Linked DNA regions of Struthio camelus. The protein of the gene in region 2 interacts with the protein of the main gene of each other region in a pairwise test. Links are inferred from orthologs where the notes say so. Each region holds a gene or a part of one and is shown on either strand. Other genes may lie near its edges. The genes, in order: LMO2, RINT1, DCX and FAM110A.

Evidence for each region.
Region 1: the proteins of RINT1 (region 2) and LMO2 interact in binary tests that used the Homo sapiens proteins (3 or more experiments, as listed by UniProt). The two-hybrid records come from large-scale screens. The link is inferred for Struthio camelus from reciprocal best matches to the Homo sapiens genes RINT1 and LMO2.
Region 3: the proteins of RINT1 (region 2) and DCX interact in binary tests that used the Homo sapiens proteins (3 or more experiments, as listed by UniProt). The two-hybrid records come from large-scale screens. The link is inferred for Struthio camelus from reciprocal best matches to the Homo sapiens genes RINT1 and DCX.
Region 4: the proteins of RINT1 (region 2) and FAM110A interact in binary tests that used the Homo sapiens proteins (3 or more experiments, as listed by UniProt). The two-hybrid records come from large-scale screens. The link is inferred for Struthio camelus from reciprocal best matches to the Homo sapiens genes RINT1 and FAM110A.

The regions. Positions count from the first base shown.
Region 1 is NC_090946.1:33,638,148-33,645,792, forward strand, and holds the start of LMO2 (rhombotin-2), read right to left. Parts: upstream 3,022-7,645; 5' UTR 2,780-3,021; coding exon 2,773-2,779; intron 2,671-2,772; coding exon 2,493-2,670; intron 1-2,492. UniProt on the Homo sapiens protein: Acts with TAL1/SCL to regulate red blood cell development. Also acts with LDB1 to maintain erythroid precursors in an immature state.
Region 2 is NC_090942.1:15,467,548-15,475,156, reverse strand, and holds the start of RINT1 (RAD50-interacting protein 1), read right to left. Parts: upstream 3,011-7,609; 5' UTR 2,861-3,010; intron 2,804-2,860; exon of another isoform or gene 2,587-2,803; intron 2,006-2,586; exon of another isoform or gene 1,965-2,005; 5' UTR 1,867-1,964; intron 1,475-1,866; 5' UTR 1,456-1,474; coding exon 1,279-1,455; intron 1,115-1,278; coding exon 873-1,114; intron 1-872. Other genes in the region: PUS7 (pseudouridylate synthase 7 homolog), read right to left, coding at 4,085-4,221, 4,979-5,070, 6,133-6,262. UniProt on the Homo sapiens protein: Involved in regulation of membrane traffic between the Golgi and the endoplasmic reticulum (ER); the function is proposed to depend on its association in the NRZ complex which is believed to play a role in SNARE assembly at the ER.
Region 3 is NC_090952.1:8,237,634-8,245,602, forward strand, and holds the start of DCX (neuronal migration protein doublecortin), read left to right. Parts: upstream 1-4,951; 5' UTR 4,952-5,895; intron 5,896-6,353; 5' UTR 6,354-6,572; intron 6,573-7,969. Other genes in the region: UDP-N-acetylglucosamine transferase subunit ALG13, read right to left, coding at 1,247-1,356, 3,108-3,246, 3,507-3,669, 4,630-4,710. UniProt on the Homo sapiens protein: Microtubule-associated protein required for initial steps of neuronal dispersion and cortex lamination during cerebral cortex development. May act by competing with the putative neuronal protein kinase DCLK1 in binding to a target protein.
Region 4 is NC_090959.1:18,340,613-18,346,345, forward strand, and holds FAM110A (protein FAM110A), read right to left. Parts: upstream 1,649-5,733; 5' UTR 1,598-1,648; coding exon 509-1,597; 3' UTR 501-508; downstream 1-500.

The DNA.
Region 1 (7,645 bases), on a different chromosome or scaffold from region 2:
AGGGGATAAAGCAGTAATTTTCTTCAAATCAACTTTCTTAAGGAGCTCTCTTCCTTGCCTCTTCGTGTAATGTTATAGCTTCTGCCAAAAAAGATCAGCAAAAATTAAAGGAAAGCATCTGAGCTCAGTTCTGCAAGGTTTGCAATGACCTGACACTGCCACTGAGGGCCTCATCCAAACCCCAGGGAAGTTAATAAAAAGACTATTGGATCAATCCTTTAAGCACTTGCTTAATTTTAAACCTGTGGCTAGTGACAAGGAAGTCACTTGTTTGTACATTTATGCTTGTCTGCTTTGCTGGATCTTGACCAAGGAGCTCAATGACTGGCAGATGTAGCCCCAAATTGTTTAAGACATTGTTCAGTTCTTGCTGTCGCACACTGTCTGTCAATGCTTTGTTTCTGTCGCTGTTCTGTCCTCCTTCAGGCTGGTGAGGGCAGAGTGCAACTACACCAACAGAAAAGAATCAGGCTACACCGAGTTTCCAGCAGGCCATAGGAAAAATTATTTTACTACTGCTTCAAGTGGGTTTATGTAGACTGTTGTCAAAGCTTATTTACTGGGTCAGCAGTTTTCTAGGCAAAAATTACTTTCTTCAGCATGCAGAAATGACCAGCAGTTGAAAACTTCCATGCTGAGAAACTGATCCTGCAGTTTCTATTTAGACAAGCTGAGCTCTAAGATATTATCTGATTATATCCCATTCTGTTTTTCACTCTCCAAAGTTTAAACTGCTGTGCCCTAAAAGTTTTCTTATAATATCCCACCCTTCTAGCTCTCTGTACCGTGCGTTTGCATTAAAATTGTAGGCTGTCTGCTCTTAGAATCATGGTAAGTGATCAGGCCCCACTTTTTCAAAGTTTATTCCACATGCTTCCCTTCCTAATGTGTGGGCTACCCACGGACAAGCTCTGAGAGCCTTCCAATAGAACATGCAACTGTAAAGGAATAGACATTATTATCCTTTATTTGAAGCTTCAGATGTACCCCAAAATCTTTAATCTTATAGATGGTTCAGGAATCACTAGCCAGTCTCTGAATGCCCTAAAGTCCGGAACAGCCTGACGGATGTTTACGCGGAACAGAATTTCTGTTTTAAGCATTAGCATTTTGATGTTCATACATTGTAAAGCCAGTACTTAGTCAATAGAACACAAAGTAGGTAAATAAATAAATACGGCTAAAACTTTTGTAGTTCAAACCTGGATGCCATATACCTGGGAAGTTAGGATGATCATTTCTTAAAAACAATATGAAATAAAAAATGTAACAAATGCAAAACATCAAATGTGACATGGCATGAACTGATTTAATCCACATAAGAAACACTTCATGTGTTCACTTGTGGCTTCAAGGGAAGGGCCCAAGTGAAACAAATCGGAAATGACTAAAGTTCACTAAGAGTAATGTTTTAAGCCTTATCTGAAAATGGGGATTTTACAATGTTTTTCTTCTCTCTTATCATGATGCTAGACATCTGTAACTGCAGTTATTCAAATGTACAGCGCTGAAGTGACGTGGTGGTACTCTGAGTGAACGTGCCTCTTGCAAGTATGGTGACTGCATGTGCTTGGATTCGGAAGGGATGGGACGGCTGCTGAACACAGATTGAAAAAGAGGGTCATAATGTGGGAGTCAGTCCCTGCCATGAATGTGAAAAATAGGGAGGAAAATTCTCATCTTCTGCATCCTTCCCGTCAATCAAGTCTTTGTACATGGCCAGTGCCTTTGCAGAACACCCTGCCCCCACCAAAGCAGTTCGTACAAGCTCTTGAAAGTTGCAAAGTGCCTCGCATCATGAAAATGTGGAAGTTGGGCACCCATCAGATAACAGCTCCGACCTTTCGCTGTAATCAGCTACAGCGAGTTGGACAGATCAAACATGGGGCAGAGAGCGAGGCTCAAAATGAAGACAAGTTAAGCTCTGGAAAGCATTATGCCCTCCGTCTCCCCCAGTCGTTCCCCGCAGCCCTGCATCCCGAGACCGGGCGGAAAATGCCCTGCCCCGTGCGGGATTGCGCCCGGAGGTTGCTCCCAGCGGGTATTTCCCAGAACTTGGGGGCTCCGATCAACTCAACGTGGGGCCGGGGCCGCCGGCCGCACCCGCAGCCCGCGGAGGCGCCGGCGGCTCGGGCAGCCCGGCCGCCGCCGCCCGCCCCGGGCCCGGGCTGGAGCTGCCACCGGGGGCTGCGGCGCCGGCTGCCGCCCGGGGCTGTTAGGCGGGGCTGCCGCCCGCGGCTGGCGGCCGGCGCGGCGCGGCTTCCCTCCCGCGGGGCGCCTGCAAGCCGGGGCAAAGAGCGGCGGGCTGCTGTGCTTCCGAGCCCCCTTGCCCGCCGCCGGGAAGGGACGCCCCAAGCAGCTCGCCGGGGCTGACACACACAATGACGGTGGTGAGGGAGCTCGTAAAGTCCCTGCCGAGCGCGCCTCAGCGCTGGGGAGGATCAAAAGGCACGGGAAGGGCTGGGGAGGCTGAAAGAAAAGAAGCCACTTACTCGGAAGGATCGAGGCTTTTCCTCTCGATGGCCGATGACATTGGCAGGGATGGCTCCTTTGTAGTGTGCCTGTGGTGGGATCTGCCCCCGCTGCCCCCGCAAAGGCTGTCTGCTCTTGAAGCCTTTTCACCAGCTGAGTTCCCCCTCCGCCCCCCAATGACATTCACAGGATTTCCTCCTGCAACACCAAAGAGAGAAAGAAATATGGGCTGGGGCTGCTGCCGCCGCGGCCGCCGTGCTGCGGGCTGCGTCTCCGCCAGGCTGACCCTTAGGATCTAACCTCCCATGCTTGCCCCGCTCCTGCGGCGCGCTGGGCGGCGGGCAGCTCCCGCCGCTGCGGCTGGCCCCGCCGGCGGCCGCCGCCTGCCGCGGCCGCCGCTGCTGCCTACCCCGCGGCTCCCTCCGCTGCGCTGCGCTGCGCTGCGCTCCGCTCAGGCTCGCTGCCTGGGCAGCTCTGAACGTGCTCGGGAGAGGGGCGCATCGGCTGCGAACGTGGAGACCAGCATCATTATTATTACTCTAGCTCAGCCCCGAGTCTCTGGTTTCATTTCCTTTTTCCTGATCACGATTCAAATACAATAGAAGGAAATCGCACTTAAAGAGACAGCTGCCCATTTCTTAACTGGACTCCGGGGGATTTAGCAATACAAACAGCAGCATCACGACTCAGTCGGTTTCTTAAAGAGACAGAGCTCGTCTCCCCAGAGCTAGGGCTGGGAGCTGACTTTGCATTTTCACAGTACGCTCTAATTTAGGAATACTTTATCAGTAAACCGGGGGTGCCCGGATAGTCGTGTAACCTGAAAATGATCCGAAGGGCTTAAAAAATTCAAATGTCTGGCTCCATCTTTATTGGCCTCTTAGCTCCACACATTACCAAAGCACTAGCGTCGTGGTCTCTCTTCTCTTCCTCTCCTTCTCTTACCTATGCACATACCCACACGCACTCATGCTTTTGTACAGTATTTGAGATCTATGCATAAAGACACTAGGTAAGAAGCTAAGTATTATTTTCTACCTAGGATTCAAATGGGCCAGCTAAACTGTACCTGTCTCATTTCTTACTCTATAGTGAACATTTATGGGTGTCTACTCCTAGGTGTCCCCACCTAGTTCTTGGTAAGTCATATAACAAATTTATATCTTGATGCTGTTTGATGGTAATGAGCTGTAAAAGCTCGAGAGTACAAAGTATTGATCTGTAATTAATCACAGAGAAGCTAAAGATGGGAAAGTCTTGCTTGAACATCTCTATTTCCCCTCCTAGCCTTCCTCCCCCCTCCTCTCCGTCAGCACAGCACATCCCGGAAAGGACTGATTTACAGTGCTAGAGTGAACACTATTACAGCAATTATAGCTTTTTTCCATTCTCTGTGGCATTAGATACTGGCCATAGCTGGCGGCAAAATACTGGATGAGATGAATTGCCTGCCCTGTTAATTCTTTTAGATACAGTAAGAAAGATCTGTAATAAAGCACTAGTGAATAGCAGTAGAAATACTTACCTTCTATATTAATTCCCAGATCGGAAATATATTTGATGTCTGTTTTTATGACTAGATTCTCATTTTTTCAGCTTTTTTTGGCAGCTAGGGATATAATATCTGAAATACATTAATGAGCCTGATTCAAAGACTAGTGATGTCAGCAGAACTGTTACTCATTTCAGGGGGCTTTTAACCAAGCTCTCACAATTCTTCAGAGCCATCACTGGTCATTAGAACACTTATTCTTCAAAAAAGAATTTGTATCCTTTAAGAAAGATTTCTTATTCTTTAAAAAAAAGATAAATAAAACAGAAAAGATAAAGAAGGTCAATAAAAAGATATATAAAAAAGATAAAGGAGATTCTTATATTTTAAAAAAGTTATCGCCACTGTATTTTAAGCTATTACAGTATGGCAGTCACACTTATAACCAAATGTTTTTGTTAAAGGAAAAAGCTTCTTTGTTAGAAATATTTAACCACGGGGAACTTTATTAAGAAGGTTTAAAGAGATCAGAAATTGAATTTAATGGGGGACCAAAAACTTGTATAAAGACTTCAAACACTTAAAAAAGAAAGACAGTTCTGTGAGCTTGGTGTCTCCTGGCTGTGTCTTAAGGTCTAATAAGGTATAAACTCCGAGTCACATTGGCAGGCTAATTGCAGTCTCTCCCTTCTACTTATTTTCCTCAAATTTGCAGGAAATTAATATCTTTAAGACTTCTGTCACTCTGTCTATCTAAAAGAGACCAACTGGTTCAAAAGTTTTGGTGAGGGATAGACACGTAGACATTGACACATAAGGAATTACTTTCTTCCTTAGAAAAACAACCTAAAACCAAGGAGGTAAAAGATAAAGTGGCCAGTGATTACTGGAATATGTAATTTTTCAATCTTTTGCAACACCTATATTCCTCGATTTGATCAGGCTCACTGAGGTCTGGCAGATAACCTCACTGAAGCTAATGAGATATTTCATATACTCAAAGTTGAGTGCATGTTTACGTGCTTTGCTGGACAGGGCAAGAATGCTTCATGCCTTGCAAGATCAATCCCTTAACTGAAGGAAGCTTTTCTACCTAAAACAATGGAATAGTGTGTAAATAAAGGAGCTGAAGAGCACTATTTGCTCATATTTTGTCATCCTTTCAGTCAGGTGCAGAGCTTGGCTGAGGCTTTCAGATCCAGAACAAACTTCCTAAGGAAAGTCAGTTCTTCAGGTGGATACTACTTTTGATAGTGCTGATATCTCTGCATGCTTCCGAGAGATACCACTTCTCTGCTTGTCTGAAAAGATGTGTAGTGATGACCCCAAGATTATTCGTTGTTTTCTTTCTTTCCTATAAAGGAGAGATGCTAGGCAAAGTAGTGTGAGAAGAACTAGGAAAAGTGAAAAAGTAGTCAATTTGCTGGTACATAACATAATAAATGTGTTGCTCCACTGTGCTTATTGGGAGAGTGCTTGAACTCAATCTGCTTAAACAAACAGTAATCAGGAAATACTGCATGAGCTGTAAAGTTGTCATGGTACCTTGAACAAACTGCACAGCAAAGACGCAAGGTAACACTTGGCTCCATGCATCAGGTGGAATTTCAAACTAAACCAAAAGCTTGCTTTGCAAGCATCAGTGTGGCAGAAGATAAACAGAAACTGCCAGGAAGCAGTGTCCTCTACTGATGGGTATGTACCAAACTGTTGTTGGTTTTTCGCCTGAATGGAATTTCTGTAAGCACCTTTTCTTCAAACTTTCTGTGGTGGTATTTATTGGCAGCTCCAAGTGCACTAACAGTAGAAAGCCCACCAAGAAGGTTCTCTGCATTCTAACCTAGGAACTGTTTTTTCCAACATCTTTTGGGGAAGGAAAATGTATTATTTTCTGGGACAATTCAAATTTTCTTTTATTAGGTTTATATATAATAGACCCTCGCTCTGGGCAGTGAAACTTGGCATCTTCACCAGAGGAGTCTTGTGTTCCACCAGAACAGGTGACCAGTAATCAAGAGTGGCTTCTTTTTTTCAACTTGGGAGAGTCCCTTAGTACCTCTGTGCCTCAATTTTCCCATCTGTAAATGTTTACTTCCCTCAACAGAATCTGTGGTTGATTTACTTTTGCCTCCCGCAGAATTAGGCTCATAAAGACAAAACATTATTCAGTTTTAGTATTTGTGGTGCCTACATTTCCTGCATAGGGACAAAAAGACTAGTACTATTTTTAGTGGGGGATTTTCTTTCCATTGTCCCTTTCTCTGCGAGGCTGTGTTTTCCAGTTCTATTTAGTGCAGCTTTTTATATTCATTGACAGACTGAGGGATGAATGTTGATTTCAATTAACTTTTATGAATGTAGATCATACTATAGGCAAATTCTTGGAGCATTACTAATATCAAATCCAGTGTTATTGTTTGCATTTAGCTTTCAGTGCTTGCAATAAAATGTTGTGAATAATTTGACTAGACTTTTCTGTATATTTCTCAGTAAGACTATTTTATGTAAACCTGCATTGTTTCTAGGAGTGATGTCATTGAAACAAATAACTAAATGTGCCTCTTTCCAAAGAAACATCCCCTCTTGAAACTGCTGAATGTTTTCACCTTTGTTTTGGAACTCTGCTCATTTGAGGTCCCAGGATTCCCTCTTGTGCTCAGTCTCCGGTTGTTCCTGCCCTTATTTCATCTTTAGTATATCCTAGCTTTATTTCCCCTAGAGCTGATGGATGTCGGTATTGAACTATTGAACTATTTCAGCTCACTCGCATTTGGAGAAGTCTGAGAATAGTAAGATTAACTTTGCTGCCCTCAATAGTCAGTAATGTTTGTTGCCTAAAATGCAGCTGATGAAGATTTAAGTCTCTGCACAGACACAAGAATTAAATCTCAATGACTGTGGTCTAGATTTTCTGTTAGTACTTGCTATGGGGTAGAAAAGTCAAGACCATGGCTAGAGTCTAATGATTAATATGAGAGGTGGGGACGAAAGAGAGATAATGACCTCTGTAATCTTGGCTCTGTTTTGCCACTTTGATCTACCATATGATGTTCAAAAAGTCACTGCTCCATTTGATTCCTCAGTTTACCTATTTGCAAAATGGAAGAATTCTTCCTCCTTCTCACCACAAGCTGAGCTGAAGCTTTGGCATAATGAGGTCTTTGGTTGACGTTCCAAAGAAATGTAAAGTTGTTTTTTCTTTGGGTTTTTTGAACACCATTTTGATACTCTAAAACAAGTTGGGAGGCTCTGAAGCAATTATGTTTGTTCATGTCTGGTCCCTATTAAAGAATACAGAATACTTGAGGAGAAATATCAGTCAGCTACTGCTGAGGACATTTGACTGGAGAATCAATGCTGGATCAATAGCAAATCATATTGCTGCCATGTTGCAGCAGCAGTGCATTGCAGAAGTGAAAGGCAACACATAATACAATAAAAATACATTTTTTGCTTTTTCATGGGCATGGAAAACTCTTTTTTAGGCAAGAAGTTATGTTACATGTGTTCTCTCCACGAGCGCTGCTTTTTCATATGCAAGACTACATCTTTTTCCTAGTTGTACTAGGAGCTCCCTGCTAGCATTCTTTTTAACTTTCCTGGGGATAGAAGTGGTGATAGCAAGGACAGGGAGTTTTCCTGGAGTGAAGACCATAGGCACTAACCTTAATGTCTCTGGAG
Region 2 (7,609 bases):
AAAAAAGTCACCTATATATTCAGAAACAAAGATAAAACTTGCTTAATCTGAAATATTTTAATAATGAGATAAACTAGGTTACCGCTCTGAGCACACATGCACAATACCCAGACGTGATTCATGGACCAAGCTCCGTATCTGAAGCTTCCTAGGAAAGGAGTCTGTCACAGAGAATTAAACTGTTGAGGAAAAGGAGTGGAAGATGAGGAAAGGAGGAAGGTCTCAAACTCTTTTAAGCACACCTTCTTGAAATAATCCTTTTAAAGAACTGTTTTTCCTCTCACTTCCAAGAACAACACTGAAAACAAATTTCATAAAGTGGAAGACCGGCCTAATACACCTCTACAGTTTTCTGCATAATATTTCACAACTAAAGTTTGTCTATATAAAATTTGATCCAACAATGCTTTCTAATTTCTGAAATTCTTTTTGTGCACTACAAAAAATTCTCCACTGAAAGAAGCTAGGAATGAATTAACATGACACTGTTCACTTACACTAAATGAAGATCTGTGCACTAAGACAAAGGATTAGAATTTTGAAGTCTGAAGTGTCATGTTTCTTCTCAAGATGTTTAGGTATCACTTCAATTATCTTATCGTAATTTATAGTAACTGAAAAAAAAAAACCATAAGTGTTTTTCATCTTTTCTCTCTCGTGTAAGAAGCTGTCAGCTATTACCTTCCTTCTTAAAAGTTGACAGAAATCAGAACAATAATCTCGAATTCTCACTAGTAAATGAATTAACAAATTGCATGTAAGATGACTTCCAGTTCCAGTGTGTTTATCAAATCTGATTATTTAACACTGAAGCCTTGAAAAAGATGTGTGATAATATCAGTAAGAAGTTTTTAAAGGTCTTTCAATTTTACCTTAACTCTTCTATTCGTGAGATCCATTTCAGGTAAGACAGGTGTCGTTCAATCTCTTCCACTTGACCAATGAGTACATCGAGATCCTCCATCCATGGCTGAGCTTTCAGTAAGTGGCTACTGATTGAACTCGATAGAAGTGTTTCTTCCTCCAAAAGCCGACTAAGAGACTTTTTAGAATCTTCTGCATTCTTTAAAGCATTCTGAATTCTTTTAGGGACCTCTGATGAAACTGTAAGTACCTATATTTAGGGAGAAGTATTAAGCGTAAAATGACATAAAACCATTGCACTATACAGAAAAGCATCATACGGGATATTAATAAATTGCCCCAATATAGTTAAATACACTTAATCGATCATTCAGCATATTTACCGTTTCCATGAAAATCTGAAAAGACACTCACCTGTTCTTCTAACCGCCTTTTATTTTCAGATAGCTTATCAATAAGGTTGTCTAGCTTCCTCAGAGAATCATAGTCACTGCCAACTTCTCTTTCCACAAATTCAGAAACGTAGTATGGGATATCACAGCGATCTGGATCTCTAGTGAGTCCTTTCTTTCTAACATTAATGGTTGCCATGTTTTCTTTATCTGCAATACTGATCATACGATTTCTAGTTAGTCATCACTAAGACAGTACTACCAATTGTTGATCTACTGAGGATACAAACTTCCATGAGAAGGACAGTTCAATTCAAATTGCAAAGTAAATACGATATTTAATAAAAAAAATGCTTTAAATGAGGCAATTTGCTTAGGTATGGCTTAGAAGACATACAAGGGAACCTTGCTAATATACATTCCATTGTCGATCACCTGTTAACTAGCCAAGTGAAATGCGTCTGCTACTTGAAAAAATACCTTCCCTAAAATTGAGTTTTATTAGCAATATTTCTGTATACGTGTTTCTAGCATGGAAAGCAAGGAAAAATATTGGACGAAACATTTATTTTTATTAAGAACGAAGAAAAAATCCAATGACCTACATTACCTTTTCAGGCAGTTTACGATGTTTCAGAAACGCCAAATGATGAGGTGACCCATGACTAGCAAAGTATCCAGTCAGGTCTTGTAGAATAAGCATGTGATCTGTAAAGTCAGTGCATCAGTGAAATATAAATGGAAAAAAAAAGATAGAGTATAACAGCAGAAGAGGCATGTGATGATCTGCACGTTCTGCAGCACCCAAAGAAAACAAGTCCTGAAACTGAGAGGATGTTTATGTACAGTGAAACAACAACAACAACAACAACACACCACAATGACTGTTTGGCTGTATTACAATTCAATTTTTTTCATTCTGAATTTCAAAACAGTGTTTAAAAGCATAGGCCATACACCTGCACTTTATCCATTTTAATTAAACAAAAAAAGCATATTAAATGGACAACAGGAAAGAGTGAAAGGATGGTGCAAGTGATGAGTCCAAGCTGGGAGAGCAGGACAGCGCACCAGCAAGAAGAAACTGGGAGACTGAGCAGCTGGGAAGGAGCGTGTACAGAAAACAGAGGCCCTCAGGAAGAGAGGGGGAGAGAGAGAGAGGGCGCTGCATGGAAGAGGTGGGAGTAGTAAGAACCCCCAGGCTGCCTGCAGAAATGAAAACAAGTACCACTCGAGAAGTCCACTGGTCTCTACAGGGGCAGAGAGGGTTTCGACACCGGGCACCGGCCTCCCACCACCCCCCCGCTCGAACACGCAACTCCGCCTGCACCTCGCCTCTCCCTTCACCGCTTCAGAACAACTCTACGGCCCAGCAGGGCTCTGCTAAAAGGGCAGGCCTCCTCCCGGCCCGTTCCGGGGGGCTGCCGGCCCTCACGCCTAGCAGCAGCAGCAGCAGCAGCAGCAGCTCGGGAGGCCGTTAACGCCTCGCCGCCCTCCAACGCGCGAGCCACCGGGACAGCCGGGCCGGGCCGGGCCCCCTGCGGCACCTCTCCGCGGCGGGGGGCGGGGACCGCCGCCGCCGCCGCCGCGGGCCGCTCACTCACCTGCCGCTCGCTCCCTCGCGCGCGCGCGCGCGCGCAGCCCCGCCCCCCGCCGCTGCCGCGTCAGCAGCCGAGAAGCCCGCGGGCGGCGGCCGCCACGGAGGGTCACGTGCGCGCAGCCCCGCGCGTGCGCCCTTGCCCGCCCCTGGTGGCGGGGGGCCAACGCCGCGGGCGGCCCCGCCCCCTGCCCCGCCCTCGTCCCTCAGGGGCGGCCCGCGGCCCTCCGCTGCCTCAGGGCGGCCGCGGGCGAGACTAGCTTTGTTCCTGCAGGCAAACTACAGGCCTGCCGCTTCAAGAACGCGCGCCCCCCCCCCCCCCCAAAAAAAATCTTTTAGAGACGGTTTATCATCAGGCCGGTTTCAAGGATTTAATTGGCGTTTGAACAACGAAGAAGTACAACAGGAGAGACGCCTTGTGTTTCCATGAGTTTATTAACACAAGCAACGCGGGTTTGCGTATTTGGTATAGAAACGGATTGCGAAGGCAAAGACTGTCCTTTCCGAATGGCTTTGTAAGCTTTTCTTCTCCCCTACCAGGAGTCCGGCTCATCCACTGCCGGCAACGGACACACCAAGACGCCTGGAGGAAACAGTTACTGACGTTCACCTAGACTTTTTGGTTAATTTATTTTCCTTAGCTGTTCTTTAGTACAGGTATTAGTAAAGCAGGAAAATATGCACAAATATTTTCTTAATAAAAGACTACAGCCAAGTGAAACAGCTGTACACCATCATCACCCCACAGAAAAGGCCTCGCTAACAGAATCCTCTACCAGATCAGCGCAAATGCTACCGGCATCCTACGGCTACAGAGACTTCTTCTTTGATGACGAATATTCGTCAATATCTTAGTTTTATTGTAATTGGTTTTCCTAATCCGAAATTTAGTATGTTTGAAGAGTTTGAATTGTGCTAAACTCATGAAAACATTCAACCGTCGCTGTACTTCCAGACAAGCGAAGCGCAGCTTCCTCCAGCTCCGAAACCATTACAAGCCCTCTTTTTAAAGACGCAGTCATGTTACAGCTCAAGCAATTTATTCATTCATTAAAAGCATCAGTCACTAAGAGCTACATTATATTACAACCACCATCTTGCAAATGATTTAATGTTAATTTCTTGCACCAATAAAAACTTTAAAAAATACCGATCTTTAAAGATTTGTCCCGAACACGTACGTAGTAAAACTTTTTATACGTGATAAAATCTAACTCCTTTTACAGTTCATTCAGCGTAACCAGGTAGTATTCAGCTGTGTCTGGTTTTTTATGCTTGTGTCCATTTTTAGCACTTCTCGAATTGCCATAGTCGCGTAAGTGGATGGGGGAAGGGAGAACGCCATCTTCAGTGCCCTGAATTTACCATCTGTCGTATCAGGGGTAGGAGGAAAAACAGACAAGAATAGACTGTTAAGACCACACAAAATGCTTATACTGGATATCATCAAAAGCGGACATCAAAACTTAAAAGAAAAAAAGTGAGTTTACACTCCATTTACAATCCACAGTGTAGCATAAAGTGAAGTTTCATAAAATAACTTCCATTTAACATCTTCTCTCAGCAGGAAGTGACTATGTTAGAGGAATATTTATCAAAAATTATATAGTTGATCAATTTGTCAGAGTAGGGCATTTTTGTTTTCTTTTTAAAAAGAAAAAACTCCTCTTCTTTCAAAACTGAATTCCTAGTCTCTCTATTTTCTGGAAAGCAGAGTCAAAAGACCTTGTGACCTAAGTCATTTTTAAAAATTTCCATTGACTTTAAGTATTTGAATAGTCTCTTATACTTAGCACAAATAATATGTGCTCAAGCACATAGCCCATTTGTGGCTTAATTCCACCTTTTCTTTATGCATTTCACAGACATTTATGGTGAGACGTTTACCACGTTTTGCAGAGATGTGTAAGAAAATGCAACAGACTGCTGGAAGAGTTTGCTTGTACTTCTTTGAGAAATAAGGGTCCTTACTCAGGCACCTAACTTTGAGTACCTCCTTTTCTATATCATTACCTAATAGTATTGTTAAAGGAAAGCTGTTCTCCAAAAGATCTTTCAGTATGTTGCAGTTTAAAACAACAATCAAACATCTATTTTGCAAACAGCCGCAGAAATGTTAACTTACCTGTAGGAAGAACTGGTAGTGGTTTTCCTTGCAGCTTATCCAAATCCGTATTAAATAGTGGGATTCTAGGATCATCATACGCAACAACCTCCCTTTATAATATACATAAGGTTTTTATTATTTTTCTTTATTTAAATTTGGCAGCTACAAAAATATCACTGAGATGGAATGATTCTCCAGTACAGATTAGGGAAGGTGTTATTTATTTATGGTGCAATAACTGATAAAGCCTTATATAGAAAGCTGGTCTGTTTAGTGAAGATATTCACAAAATAATGAACTAGTGAGAAATTTCTTTACGTGACTCAGCTTTTTACCCCCCTGGGATATCAGGATTTCCAGCTATACAAGAAGTGTAGTTTATGAAATTATAGAAAGAATGGCATCAACTCTAAGAAGGATTCTTCAACAACAACAACAACAAAAAAATATATATATATATTTTTAAAAAGCCATCTAAATGTCTTTGTAATGGTTTAAACACATATTCTACTCTTTCTTCCATTCATATAATCATTCAATATGTAATTACTAGGCTGAATAGTAAATGGGAATGCAGATAAGCTCTAAAAACCAGCAGTAACTAAAATAAAATTCAAATATTTGAATTTTTTGTCTCCTTCCAAAAATCCTCCATATCCTTTTCTATGCAACACAGTAATCAGGTCATTCTGCAGATTTGTACAATAGCCTGTTTAAAAGACATTTATTCAGTTGCCATAGGACAACTTGGTCATATCCTTCATAATAGTGATTTAGTACATTTAAATAATACAAACGATCCACACACAGGCAATCGGAAACCAACTTTTCTCATAGAAAGATTGCCAAAACACCTGTTTTGTATTATCTATTGCGGTTCCAGCATGAATAATTAATTATCTATGATGTGTTTAGGCAAGCCCTTACTGCACGGGATAGTAACAACTAGACAGACGTCCTGACGCTAACACATCACACAGAACCAGAGGATCAGTGATGAAATGCGGCTCGAGTTCAACCGTGTAAAAACGTGAGGAAAATGAACAAAGATTCCTTCTTACTTATGTTTTGGTCTACATGTACACACTGTGATCTAATGGTACTTTCTTAGTCATCCTATATATACCCTACACTGTCAATTCAAGTGTTTTTTCCTTTATCTTCCTACTCACCAGTTGACATTCTGAGGTCGAATGATGATCTTTCTGTATGCTCCTGAAAGTGAATAATCTCTAATCTTATGCCTCATGTTGTTGATATCAAGATTGTCGGCTACCAGCATTTCCTTGTAGGCCTCACCAACTGCAAGAAATGAAAACATTAAGCAGAGAGTGTGCAGTACGGCCAGTTTCAACGGAGGCCATGTTTTAATGTAACATTCCTTCCCTTGTTTTCCAGTGATCTTCAGCATATGTGGGATAAACGTCAGACGGAAGTTGAAAATTATTTATCGCAAATCATATTACTTCCAACGTTTTCTTATTCAACCTGATTAGTAGAGTCAAGTAACCTAGAATCTCTTGCTTGACAATCAGAATTTAAGCTGAAAACAAAACTTATATAAAATATTTTATTGACACGTCACTTATTGACACAAGACAATCTCAGGTATATGGGGGGAGAGGAAAAATAGAAAAAAATAGGGGAAAAAACAAGAGAAGCTAGAATACCCATTCTTATCTTTGAAAAAGCAGCAAAGACTGAAATGAGTTTAAAAAAGCCCTCTGAAAAAGTAAGCTGATAAGGAATACTAAGCATTTCTAACTGAAATGGCCAGAAGAATGAGTCATTTTATTAGGGTTGTATTCTTAAGTAAGAGTGTGTATCCTTAAGTAAGAGTGTGTATATGTACACGTGATGGGGAGGAGGTTGGCAATGGAAATACAGGGATATACTGCAACTAAAGTGCAGTTTGATGCATTTATTTTGCAGTGCAATTTCCAGCATTACTTCCGTCTGACTGGGAAGTTTCAAGAGGAATAACTTAAGTTTACTAAGGGCAAATCACATTTATAAATATACTGAACGCTAAAAATTTCAGCTTTTCTTTTCAATCTATGAAATAAACGTGGTTCAGTGCCACACCTCATCTCAGATTCTCAAACCGATTGCTTCTTCCAGGAGACTGGTCGGCCTAACACGGAACTCATGACTATGCTCAAATATAACAAGGATACATACATAAGGTGAAAGGTAGGACAGGCTACAAAGAAAGAAACACTGTCCAGGCACGTAGGGATGGTGTTAGGAATGCCAAAGCTCAACTAGAGTTGCAACTGGCAACAGACACCAAGAGCAATTAAGAGCTTAATTGCAACATCAGCAGTAAAAGAATACAAGGATAACGAGGGGCTGCTCCTAAATGTGGGTGATCTAGTGCCAGCAGACAGAGATAAGGCTGAGGTACACAATGTCTCCTTTGCTTCAGGCTAACTAACAAGATCTCCTGAGCTTCTGTGCCTGGACACAAGGTTCAAGGAGGAGAGAAACTACCAGTAGTGGAAGAGGATGGAGTCAGGCATCTTTGGAGAAATCTTGACCCATACAGCTCTGTAGGACCAGAGGAGACGCATGGACTGAGAGCTGGCTCGTGTCATTGTAATGCCATTCTCTGTCCTTGAAATGTCATGGAAATCAGGGGAGGTTCCT
Region 3 (7,969 bases), on a different chromosome or scaffold from region 2:
CTGTAAGAGCTATTGACATTTATATTTTCTAAAATATCATTAAACGAGATACATAAAACCAAGGATAAATTGTATTTTATTATTTTTATGCCCTTTCAGTGAGTTTATTTAGAGAAATACATTATCATCTGCCTTTTTGGATGCATTTGGGTAGAAGAAAATACTTGTGAACAAAACCAAGATCATAGGAAGCATCTTAGAAATACAGATTCTGTTGCAGATATTATGCATTCATTAAAAATATCATGATTTTGAAAAATTGTCTATTTGCAGCCCTGTGATCCCGTGAAATAAACTTTTGCATTGTTTGCTCTCACATATTTTTTGTGCAGTCACAGTCACCCAATGAGGCTGGGAAAAGATCACAGCCCGACAACTTATGAATTCTTATGGGTGGCACTGTCTTTTTAGGTGCATGTGCTGACTCTTGTCCAGGATTACAGCCATTACTGAAGTAAGGAAAAAACATTCTTACTACAGCTGCAGTGCTACCAGTCACTCACGTGAAGATTTTACAAAAAAAAAAAAAAAACCCACCTTCTGCAATGGAGTTTTCATATTGTGCATAACCTTTGAAACCTGAACCAAAAAAATGATGATTCTTCCTTTTGCAATTTTGTTGCAAAGGATGATTCCCTTCTGTATAGCCAGGATTTGATCTAGATTTAGCCTACATAAAGATCGACCCCTCACAATTATAAATAGGGCTAGATGCTAGGTATGCTGTCCAGTGTTCAGCATGTGAGTGAGCAGCATTTACCTTCACAGGGCTCCAGCTGAATGGAACATTACTTCACATATGTCATTGATGACATCTTGTTAGGTCAGAAATTTCTATCCGCATTGCTGCTGCAACATCTCTTGCTGGCCTAATCAGCAACTCCTCTGGAATGGATGCATTTCATTAGCAAATGAACAAATCAAACCGGAAGTCCACATTTGCTTACTCTCCTACCTCATTTGACATAGGTCATGTCACTCATAACCCATTACAGTAAGGCTGAAATGAAAAACCAACTTGGAGTTCAAACCCTGCCCCCTTGACACTGTGGCCTTTTAAGCATAAAGCCAGATGATTTAAATTGTTTCCATTTAATTCCAGTTAAACGTCAGTTGGTATTAACAGACATTTCCTTTGAGTTGTTATGAACAGGATTTGTCACAGTTAGTGGATTTTTCATTATGGAAGGTCTCACCAGAGGAAAAAAAAGTTTTATTCTGACATTTTTATTCTTCTGGATTGTTTATTCAAACCCAACAGCTTTATCCAAGAACAAAGCAAACTTTTCTGGCTGTCCAGGAGGAAAAGGTTTCAAAGTTGACAAGTCCATTGACTGCAGTGTCTCCACAAGAGTGCTGTAGAAACAAACCAAAACCAAGTATAATATGTTACTACTTGGGGAGAAATTCACCCCAAGGGGGAATTTTTTCTTCACACAGTTGTCTCTCTATTCATATGCATGCATAATCCTTTAGCCCAGAAATGAAAATAAGGACATATATTGAAAGGAAGAAGAGACCCCACAAACCAGTGGGCCCAACCATCACTGGCTCATAGGCAGCAATGCTGAGGAAAACGCACTTCAAGCCACATCACAACTTTCATAAGCAGCCTCAGCTCTAATTTTTTATCTTCGGTGGCTGCAAGCAACGTTGGGAGACTGAATAAGGTTTGAGGATCGCTGCCATAAACTGTATTAGGAAATTCATCCTATTTCAACACATAAGTAACCACTTAACACATAGCCAGAAAAGACAGCTAAATCAATCCATTAGCTTGCAATTTTCAGACTGCAAATAAGGCTGAAAAGCTAAAATACTGTTCAACAAAGAAATAAAAATCCCTTCCTACCTCTGAAGTGGTCAGAAGCACTGAGAAAATAAGTTTAAGAAACTGGCCTAATGTAAATTAATGAAAGGTCTGGTCTTTTTGGAAGGCTCTTCTGAAACAGAATCCTATTTGCAGGGCAAAGGAACAAGATGCAGACTAAATAATGTGAGGTGCATTTCCCCTACCTTCAATTTAAAGGTCATCTATTATTTATGGAGTGCCATAAATCACATTCATGAAGAGAAATGGGAAGATACAGTTGAAATAAAGGAGCATCAAATGAAACTAACAGGGCCCAGGATCAACAAACAAAAAGGCCTTTTTTTGTCTAAGTGGCATGCAGTAGATCTGTCAAACTCTGTCAAAGGATGTTGTGGATGCCGGAAGTTTGGTTAAGAGAGTAGCCTGAGTAAGTACTTGGAAGACAGATGTAATGAAAGTTACTAACCAACCAACCAACCAACATCTAATTTAGGAAAACCCTGAAGCATTAGGGTATTAGAAGGAAAGTCATAGAAGAGAGTCCCATTTCCTGTTCTTACTTTTTGCTAGGTATCTGTGTATGGCCACTGCACACACGTTACTGAGCTATATAGCCTCCTGAGTTGAATCAGTAAGGCCGTTTTCATGTTTTGTTCTAAATACTCGAGACGCATAGATATAATAAAAAATGAAGGTATCCATACAGTCATCTCTAGTGCCCCTCACAAAGAAAACCCACATAGAACTCCGTTTTTTTCATTTTACTAAGTCTGCAGGGAGCAATATATTTCTTATAGTTCATGGTTGGGAACTAGGCAGTATTATTTCTAGCTTTGAGAAAGAATTAAGAGGTGAGAAAGGGAGGGCAGAGTAAGAGAGGAGTTGTTAGGTACCCCTAGGATGCCACCTGACAGTTACCTGTCACTCAAATTCAACCATGGTTTAGACTGCTTTTTTTATTTTTTTTAAACTGGAAACATGTGACCTCAAAATAAAAGTTACATTAAAATTAATCTCAGACAAAAGGCTTGGTAGATTTGGTGGAGACAGCACCAACTGTTGATCTATCTACTATGGAAAAACATGCCTTGCAAACAAACAAAAAACTAGCTTTCCTGAAATGTCTGTCCTGCCCTTACTACTTAGGTGGGGAAGTTAATTGTGGTATTTGGTCAATGTGATTTTGTTACAGAGAAGGATGTGAATTTACTTATTACGTTCTCAATACTGTAATGACCAAGCTACGGTACTGAATACCTCTTGTTCAGTCAGGATCACCACAGCTGCTTCATACCTGCAATTACAATAGAGGACATGTCCATCTCTGTGGAGTTGCTTTGCCAATTCAAGCTGATGGTTGTTCATCAGCTTTTCGTTTATTACTACTATTAGTGGTTTTCCTTCTTCTAGCGTCTCCAAACAGCTACCTGCACCTACAGAAGAAACAAAAAACATGATCAGTGCTTTCACCTATAGATCAAACTTCATCCTACTGGCTCTTGCAACATGAGAGACTCCTGAACCTGAGCATTTAATCCATTTAACTCTAGCTGTGGACCTGAACTTTTAATGCTAACAGAGTCAGAGAATTACAGAAACGGAAGCTGCCCACGCTACCGACTTTCACATCTACCCACACGAGAACAGGCTTGGCAAACTCTCTGCACGGCACTCAGCTGCCAGTGCGCTCTACCTGCATGGCTTATGACCAGGTCTGCTCTCCGCAGGTCCTCAGCCAGCGAGTCCTTGAAGCGGAAGGCCTCTAGCGTGAAGGCCGGGGTGCTCACCGGGGCCGGCTCCTGCACCCCGTGGCCGATTTGGAGGACCAGCTTGCGGTACCCGTGACTCTGCAGCACCTGCGGCAGGAGGGAGAGCGGCAACAGTGCTCAGCAGCGAGCCGCAGAGCGGAGCACCTGTGGTGGGGCTGCCCCTGGTGGGCACCTGGTTGGGCTGACCCCAGCTCTGCTCCTGGGTACCCCATGGCACAGGGCCACTGCCATGGCCAGGGGGCACACGCCACCCCCTGCCTCATGCTTTATAGCCCCCCCAAGTCCCCCTGCCTCACAGCCCCTCCAAATCCTGCCTTGCCTTACAGCCCCCCTAAATCCCGCCTTGCCTCATAGTCCCAAGTCCCCCTAAATCCTGCCTCATAGCCCCCCAATCTTGCCTTGCCTCACAGACCTAAATCCTACCTTGCCTCATAATCCCCCTAGATCCCACCTCACAGCCCCCAAATCCTGCTTTGCCTCACAGCCCCTCCCAAATCCTGCCTCATCTCACAGCCCCCCAAATCCTGCATTTCACAGCCCCCAAATCTTGCCTTGCCTCATAGCCCCCCCCAAACCCCGCTTTGCCTAACAGCCCCCTCAAATCCCACCTTGCCTCATAGCCCCCAAATCCTGCTTTGCCTCACAGCCCCCCAAATCCTGCTTTGCCTCACAGCCCCAAATCCCGCCTCACAGCCCCCAAATCCTGCCTGGCGTCACAGCCCCCCCAAATCCCACCTCACAGCCCCCTCAAATCCCACCTCTCTCCTCACAGCCTCCCCAAATCCCATCTCTCTCCTCACAGCCCCCCCAAATCCCGCCTCACAGCCCCCCAAATCCCATCTCTCTCCTCACAGCCCCCCCAAATCCCGTCTCTCCCCTCACAGCCCCCCAAATCCCGCCTCTCTCCTCCCCGCCCCCCGCCGGGGTCGCCGGCCCCAGGGCGGGCGGGGGAGCGGGCCCGCAGTGCGCGTGCGCCCGGCGGCCCGGCCCGACCCGGCCCGGCGCGGCGGGCGGAGGCCCAGGCCAGAGGGCTCGGCGCTGCCTCACCCGCACGGCGGCTGGCGAGGAGGCGGCGGCGATCAGCTCCTCGAAGCTGGTGGTGCCCACGGTGACGAACACGGACTTCATGGCCGGCGGCAGGGCCCCGCCGCGCCTAACCGTGCGGCCGGCGAGGCAGGGGGAGCGGCGGCGGGGGAGGGGGGCCGCCAGGGGGCGCCCGGTCCCGCCCCGCCGCTGCCGCGGAGCGGACAAAATGGCCGCCGCGCTGAGGGGCCTGGGCGGCGCCGTCCTCCCCCCCCCCCCCCCCCCCCCCGCGATGGCGGCGGGCTGCACTGGGAGCTTGCTACTGTCCCCTCTCGCTAGCTACTTTGTCTCCTTCGGTTTCCTTCCCTGAGTTTCCTCTGCGGTGAGGAGGAAGCAGCCCCCTCCGCGGGAGAAATCGCCGCAGCTCTTTAAGGCCGGTTCTTTATCAAAAAAAGAAGATCGAGAACGCAAATTTTTTTTTTTCTTAAAGCAAGAAAACACCAAGATGGCCTTTTTCTTAAATGTCTTTTCTCACGAGAACTGATTAGCCCAGGAGGCTCGGGTTAACGCGGCTGTAGAGCTTCTGGGGCCCGCAAACCGTACCGGGTATGGCCCGCGCCCGCTTGCCCTGCTCCCTGGGCAAATCTGCTGCCGCTCGCTCGCCTGAAGGAAAATCTGACTCGTTTATTTTTAACCGTTGCAGTTGCGCACTAGGAAGACGTTTCTGAGGTTGAAGCAGGGTAACGCAAGCCCTGCTGCGTGCTGGTGTCAGTCCCGACGGCAGCCGGGACCCGGCGGCAGCCTGCCTGGCGCCCGGAGAGCTGGGACCCCTCGGGGTGGTGGGGCAAGAGCTGCCCAACCCCAGGAAGGCTGGCACAGTGGCAGGGTCCCCGCGGGACCGTTTGAGACGTGCTGTAAGCGAAGGAAGCAAAAGGTACCTAGGGCAGGCGGTCTAGGACCGAGACAAGAAAATAAGGCGAGGAAACTGAGGGAGGACAGAAGCAAAAAGACCAGAGTTCCTGTCACCATCATCTGCCGACACTTAAACTGCCTTATTTTTTACAATATGCTTTTGCTGAACTGGTCACCTCAACCTATTCCTTTCCATTCCGCTTTTCTCCTTACAGCCTTGCCACATGTGAAAGTCACAAGCCAAGCCATAGAAAATCAGGGTATCAGGAGTCCTTAAGAAATACTTGCAGAGTGCTTTCTCTTGGCTTTATGCTGTCTGGGCCTGTTAATTTCCACTGTAATTCTGAGGACTAGGAAAAAAAACCCTGAAATTCTCAGGTAATCTCTTGATACCAACTGCTGGGGCCTTATTCAAATATATTGTTTATTTTAACACTAGTCTCATGACTCACCAAAGCATCACAAAGGGGTGGTAGTGTATGAGTAGTCAGTCATGTTTTGGAGGCAGGATGGATGTTTCATACCTCTGATGCCCGAAGCAATGCCACATGGCACCTGTAATGGTGGCCCACTGGTGATGGGCCTCACTGGGGCATACCCTTCCCTTCCAGGAGCCCAGCTGCACTGCTGCCACAGCTGGTCAGCAGATCACCTGTGGATATGAGTCATTTTAAAATACTCACTTTAAAAAGCAAATTCTGAAAGTCATTTAAATACTTGTGTTCCTCTCCTACCCTTGCCTTTTGAAAGATACGTGCTCAGCATCACTGAATACAATAAGGTTCCCACTCCTCCCTACTGCCCTTTAAGTACACATTTTTCTGATGCTGTTTCAGGCTGATCTTCCCACCTGTTACAAGGACTGAGGAAACATGCTGCCATGGGCAAGAGCTTATCAACTCCCAACATGACACCATCCCAAGAGCTAAGGAACAGGGAATCAGAGAGGAGCTGAGGTGGGAGGTGAAGGTTTCTTCTGAACAAAGCAGCGTGCAGTGTTAAGCCACCTTAAATCAATAGCAAAGACGAAGTCACCAGCAAATTTCTCATCTCAGGTACGTTTCCCCTTTGTGATGAAAACCCTGCAGTGTTGTAGTTTCAAAGTGAGACATCACATCTGATAACACATGATCTTGGCCACTGAAGGACATAATAATCCTTTACCAGTTGCACAAGCTGAACCAGAAGCGTTAAGTGTAAAGCAACATATTTTTTGACAGAAACTACTCAAATTAGACATCTAAACATACTTATTCTTTGAATTAGATTTAATAGATGAGGTTGCATCTACATTTATTGCTGATTGTACAAAGAAAGAGGCAGAAGAGATTTAGCACTCTTAAGGATACTTCTAATTGCCATGTTAATGGCTCATTCACAGTGCTCATTAGCCCCCTATTGTTTTCATTTGACATAATGAGCCACACTGAAACTCATTTATTGTTGATAAAAGCAAGTAATGCTGACAGCAGGATTGGGGGGGGGGGGGGGGGGGAAGGAAGAGAGGTAGTATCTGATTTTGGGAGATATGTTGTGGAGTAAAACCGATGTCAGGGCCCTAAGAATCCAATAGGCCTCAGCAGCCCTCACTAGCCTTGTCCTACCCTTGCTGCTCCCTAAGGGCAGGTGAGCTGGGAGCAGAGCATGGCCAAAACACAGTCCAGGAAACAACATCATCAACAGGTGCAATTCCACAGCGCCAGAGGCAGGTGAGGAGGGCAGGGTGGTGACAGCAAACAGGTCCTGCCAAAGGCAATGCAACAGGCCAGGTCTAAGGTCCATCCAGGAAATCCAAGCAGCAACTCAGGACCAGGGTTAGGAGAAAATGCACCTCTGATGCAGCTCAGCAGGGAACGAGGGCCCAGCTTGGGAGTGAGTGGAGGCCCCAGGTGAGGCTGGTCAGGGCAATTAAAGCCAGTAAGTGCTCTCAGGGCCCTGACAGCTGATGGATATAGGAAGATTTTGGAATGAAAAGACGGATGCTAGGTTTATCAGGTGTGACAGAGGAGGGTTAACACATCAATAAACCTTTCTGAGAAGAGATAAGGACAGCTATTGAAGAAATGTTTTAAATAAAAAAAAATTAGGATAGAACTTAATATGTTGGAATGTGTTCCTGTCTTTGTCATTAATTTATATTAAGCTAGGTACTGTGGTTTAGCAAATTACTGCTCCTTTGTAGCTGGGGTGCAATAACTCACCATGTGCATGCTATTTTTCTGCCCAAATTGCAAAATAAACTCACCATTACGGTGAGTTAAGTTCACGCATTCATTTTGCAGTTAGCTCAGGTTTACAGTGTTTGTACCTCAGCTGTGACCTTGCTTTCAGCCATCCACTCATAGCTTGAAGTAAGGCACTCTAAAGAAAATGCTCCATGCATCAGCAGCCAATTGTACTGTCGTTATTTGTTCTCTCAAACTTCAGCAGAGTAAAATATGTATTTAGAAAA
Region 4 (5,733 bases), on a different chromosome or scaffold from region 2:
GCGTTCCCGGCCCCGGGGCCGGCCCGTGCGCGGCCGCTCGCGGGAGAGGGACAGGGCAGCGCGTTCCCGGCCCCGGGGCCGGCCCGTGCGCGGCCGCACACCCCGCAGCGCAGCGCGAGCTCAGCAGCTGCAGACAGGCCATCTGCTCTCCGACCCGGCTCTTCGCTGCTGGCTTAGGGATTTTAGAGAGCCAGATCCACGGGGAAGCAAAGCTCTCCCCAGGCCGGGGAGGACACAGGGCCACCACGAAGTGCCTGAGCACCCGCCTGGCCACAGCCTGGCTGAAATCCCCCCTCTTGCTTGGGCCCAGCCTGTGGATCTGCAACTGCCAGTGTAGGACAGGGGCAGGGCAGGAGGGGCCAGGGGCCAAATTTGAGGGTCCCATAACAGTCAAGACATCCCAGGGGCACAGCCTGCACCACCCGAGGGCTCGGACATCGTTTCCTCCCCATCCCGCATCCGCGGCGCACACGCACACGCACGCTCGCTCAAAACCTCGGCCCCGGCACTATACGTTGGAGACCTTCTGGGGCTCCCTGGCTTGCCGCAGTCCGTAGAGCCACTTGATGACGCGGGCGTTGCGCTCGACGACGGAGATGCCGTAGGGCATGCGCTCGGCCGGCCGGTCCTCGAGGGTGGCGGCGCTGCGCTGCGAGCGGGCGCCCTCCGAGCTGGCCGTGCTCACGCTGTGAAACTTGACGGACACGATGTCGGAGGCGGCCCGGGCGAAGCGCTCCACGCCAATGTCCTGCACCTCCTCGGGGTCGAGGCCGCAGTAGTTGAAGAAGCGCTCCAGGTCGGCGGTGGCCCGGGAATAGCGGTCGCTCAGGTCCGACTTGGAGCGGTGCAGCAGGGTCTGGCGGCGGGCGCTGTCGGGGCGCCCGTCGCGGGGGCTGCGGCCGGGCGAGCTCAGCGAGCCGGCGGGGGGCACGCCGCTGCTGCGGGCGGGCGACGCCGGCGCCGGCACGGCGGGGGCCACCCTGGCCCGCAGAGCCCCGCAGGGCCGCACGTCCACCCGGCGCACGGCCACCGTGCCGGAGGGCTTGCAGCCGGCGGAGCCCTCGGACAGCTTGCTCGTGCTGTCGGCGGGGCCCGGGGGCCGCGGCGCCGCAGCCTGCCCGCCCGCCTCCCTGCCCGGCCCCTCCGGCCCCTCCGCTTTCCACTTGCGCTCCCGGCCCAGCGGGCTCTCCGCCTTGGGGAAGGGGCTGTCGCAGATGTTGATGAGGTTGTTGAGGATCTCCAGGTTGAGGGAGGTCTTTGGCCCGGCGGGCTCGGCGCGGCGGGGCCCCGGCGGCGCCCTGCGGCTGGGGGTGAGCATGGTCCGGCGCACGCCCGGCGCAAAGAGGGGCTGCTTGAGCAGCAGCGGCTTCACGGGCTCCTGCTTGGTGCTGGCGACCTGCTGGCTCTTCACGTACTTGGCCTTGTCGGCCTCCAGCCTCTCCACCGCGCTGGGCTTGCGGGCGCCGGTCTCCGCTTGCCGTCGGAAGTACTCGGGGCCCTTGTTGAGGATGCGGAAGGGCATGGCCGAGGTGAAGGGCGCCGCCGCCGTCGCCATCCCCTTCATCACGTCGCCGGCCTGCAGGGTCTCCACGGGCATGGTCCCGGCCGGCCGCGCCGTCCCACGCCGCCCGCTGCCCCCGGCCGCCGGGCCGCGGCACCCATCCAGGGTCGCGCCGCGGGGGCGCCCGGCGGCGGTGCCGAGGCGGGACGCGGGCCCGGGCGGCGGATCCCGCGGCGCGGGTCGGGCGGCGATGCTGCGGGCAGCGTCCGGCCCGGGGCCACGCGACGCCGGCTGCAAAGAGGGATCGGTGTGACGGGTGGCGGCGTGGGCCGGGGTCCCCGCGGCCGCCGGGCGCTGGCCGTCCCGAGCGCCGCCGCTCGCTCGCCCACCCGCCGGCACCAGACAAAGGCGCGAGCGGGCGCGCGAGCGGGCTGTGCGGAGCCGCTCGGTCTGCGCCGCGCAGCCCGCCGAGGCCAGCGCCCGGCTTCCTATTTCAAGGCAGGGACCACGCCTCCGCCAGCCACCGAGGCGTCCCCGAAACGTCCCCCCGGCCAATCCGCGCAGCAAGCCTGCTTCAAACGGCGCCTTGGCCAATGGGGCCGCCGGCAGCGCGCCCCAAACGCAGCTAGCCCAGCGACGGAGCGAGGAGAGGGAGGCGAGCGGTGGTGGCATCGCCTGCCCCGCAGCCCCCGGGGACGCCTGGCGCCCCCAGCCCGCCGGCCGAGGGGTGCCCGGCCCCGCCGCGGGCCGGCTCGGTCCCGCCGCCCCCTCCGAGGCTGGGGGGCAGGCTGCCTTATCGCTCTTCCTCCGGCCAACTGAGCCCCGTCTCCTCCGGGAAGCGGGGAGCAAGGATGCTGCTGGTTTGCAGGGGGGGAAACCAGAGCCCGGCCCCCCCGTGGTCCCCCGCCGACGCCGCACGGCTGCCCCACGAAACCCCGCTCCCGGAGGGCGCGTGGTGGGGCCGGCTCCGTCCCGGGGTTCAGGCACGTTGCCGGGCCCTTTCCCTCGGCCAGGCGGATCTGCAACCCTGCAGCCCGCCCGGAGCTGCAGCCACGGAGGCGGGGGGGCGAAGGCCGCGCGACGGGGGCTCCCGCACGCCAGGCTGGGCCGGCCCAGCGCAGGGTGCTGGGGACCCCGGCGCCCCCACACGAGTGGGGAAAGCCCCCAAGGAGCCAGGGGAGCTGGAGCAGCTCACGGGCTCCCTGCCCAGCGCGCGGGGTGCCTCGCTGCCCCCCACCCTCGGGCCCCTCTGGAAAGCCCCCGGGGGGGTTTCCTGCTATGTTTTCCCATCCGGCATGTGCCAGGAGCCGTGCGGAGCCCTGGATCCGCGCTGGAGACCCGGGAACCTCATGTCCTTGGGCCTCCGCCAAGCCCAACAGGCGCAGCGGCCTTCCCCAAGGGTGCGGAGGGGCAGCGGCCGCCGGCGGTTTTGGGGGGGGGGGGGGGGCCGCACCCGCTGCAGCCCTCCCGCCCCGCGGCCACCGGCGCCGCTGCGCTCGGGGCCGGGCTCGGCGACCGCGTCCTTCCCGGGGAGGGACAGCGGGGACCGCCACCGCGGCGGCGCTTTCCGAGCGCCCCAGCCCTGCCGGCCGCCTCCGGCCCTGCTCCGCGCTGGGCGCAACCTCCGCTCTGCCCCGCAAAGCCCCGGGGTCCCGGCTGCACCGGGGGGGGGGGGGGGGGCTGCACCGGGGGAGTGCACCGGGAGGAGGGGGGGGTGCACCGGGGGGGGGGGGGGGCCGCGCTGAGAGCCCGCCGATCCGGTCCGCAGCTGCCGCGGGAACCCCTCCCGCTCCCCCCACGGCGCTCGGGGGGCCGCGGCGGGGGCGGTGCTGCAGCCCGGCCGAGGGGCCGCGGGTGGGCGCCGGCAGCCCCGGCCTGCCCGGTTCGCCGTGCGAGCAGGCGGCTCGAGCAAGCGCAGGACTTACCGGGCGGGGGGCGGCCGCCGGGCGGGCCGGCGGTGCCGGTGCGCGGTGCGCGGAGCCCGGGCGCGCTGGCGGGGCGGCGGCGGCCGCGGAGCCCGGAGCGCGGAGCGCACCTGCGGCCGCGCTACCTGCTCGCACCACTTCCTGCTCGCCGCGCTACGGCGCCGTGCTCGGCGCGGCCCCCCCGCGCTGCCCGGCCCCGGGCTGCAAAGGCGGCGGGGGGTCCCGGCCGCCCCCCCCCCCCCCCCCCCGCGGCTGGCCGCCGCCGTCCCTCGCCTCGCCGCCCCGCGGCGACAGTGCCAGCTGACCCGGAAAGTGTCGGCGGGGAGCCGGCGGGGACAGCTGGGGACGGTCTCGGCCCCCCCCGGCCCCGCGCCCCGGCGGAGGCTCTCTGCACCCCTCTGGGGAGCCCCGCGCCCCGCAAACGGGGCTGCCGGCGGCGCCGAGCACCGACACGCTCGCTGAGCAAGACGGGGAGACGCGGGGCCCCGTCCCTGCTGCCGAAGGACCCCGGGGGAAAGCGGGGCCAGGCGGTGCTCGGGGCACGGCCGAGCCCCACGGCCCGGCTAGCGGGCCGAAAGACGAGGGGGCGGAGGGGAGACGCCCCGGGGGAAAGGCCAGCTGCAGCCTGCCCCGCGCCCCATCCCGGCTGCCCCGCGAGCAGGAACCGCCGTCAGCTTCCGCCCGAGGCCCCGCGTCCCCCAGCCCCGCTCGAGGCGGGACACGAGCGCCTGACTCAGCCCTGCGCCGGGAGCGCCCGCGCAGCGAAACCCCGCGTGCCCGGCGCTGCCTGGCTCCGTGCCAGCTCTGTGACAAACACGGCCCCGGCCCTGGGGGGCGGCTCAAGGTGCCCCCCGGGGCCCTGGGGCGGGGGACGAGGACGCAGGGCTGCAGAGCACAGCCGGCCGCGGCCCAACGGAGGGATTGCGGCACGGCGCGGGCTCTCCTTCCCTGCCGGCGAGGGCCGGCCAGCGGCGACGGGGCCCGGCCGGCCGCGCAACCCGCCGCTCCGCATTCCTGCCGCTGGAGAGCCGCCAGCCCTGGCACCGGCCGCCGAGCAGGCACCGCGGCGCCGAGCCGTGGCAGGCGGCTGTGCGCAAGCCGCCCTCCAAACCGCCCCGAAAACAAAGCGACGTTATCGCGTCCCCTGAGCGCTGAGGGCGCTCGGCGGCCCGGGTGCCAGGGCTGCCAGCCTGGCTCGTGCCCGGGCAATGCCAGGCCGTGGCCCCGGCTCGTCGCCCTCCCAGCCTGAGGCAGCCGAGCGGGGCTGGCTTTGCTGCATCTGATAACCTCCTCCGCCCGAGGCCGCTCCTCCGAAAAGGCAGGCTGGGAGAGGTGCCAACCCGCCCCCTCGCTGGGTGCCCCCGGCCCTGCGATGCCCGGCCAGCGAGCCCGGCAGCACCCAGCGGGGGACCGGCACGCGGGGCTGCAGCTGGGGCCACCTCCGCCTCCAGCACCTACCTGGCTCTGCCCCGGGACGCGGCAGCTCGCTGGTCACCGTGCGGGCCGCCGAGCGGCTTCTCCCCGCGCTCGGCCGGGGGGTTGTGCTCGTCCCCGGAGCCTCCTCCTCCGTGAGCAACGTCCTCACCTTCCTCCCCCTTGTTCGCGGGTGCTGGAGCGGATCTGCCGAAACCGCGCTGCTCTGAGTCAGCGCCGGGCGAGAACGCCCTGCGAGGCAGCGCGGCGCCGGCGAAGCACCCTCGCGCCCCGCTCGGCTCGCAGAGCCCAGGCGCAGCCCCGGGCCCGCTGGTCCGAGGCAGGTTTGGGGGATGTTTGGTCCCGGAGACCTCGGCAGAGGTCTTGCTGCCCTGGCACCTAATGCCTGGCCGGGCCTGCCCTGCGTGGGGACGGGGCAGCTCCCCTCCTGCTCGGCTCCCCGAGTTTGCCCGGCCCGAGGTGCACACGCTGCCACATCCGCCTCCGCTCTCCCGGCTCGGGGGTCCTTGTCATGCCGCCGAGGCGGGTTTTACGCCGGCAGTGAGGTTGCTGCGGGGAGAGCCGGCGGTTCCCAGGAAAGGGCTCGTGCGGTTGTGCCGGGGAGCCGGGGAGCTCCCTCCCGGCTCTGCTGCTCTCGACCGGCACGACCAGGCGGCAGGGCCTGCTCTTATTTGCAAAACTCACTTTGTTTTTCTGGGACACGTATTTGTCCAGCCCTTCTCAAAGGGAACCGCAGTGCTTGACTGTCCGACCTCCCTCCAGGTACACCCTGAACCTCCGCTTACGCATGCTTTAACAAGACGCAAAGGTGGCTGGCTTGGGACAACCAGATCGACTGCATTTCCCAGCCCTTCGGAGAAGTCTCCACCATCA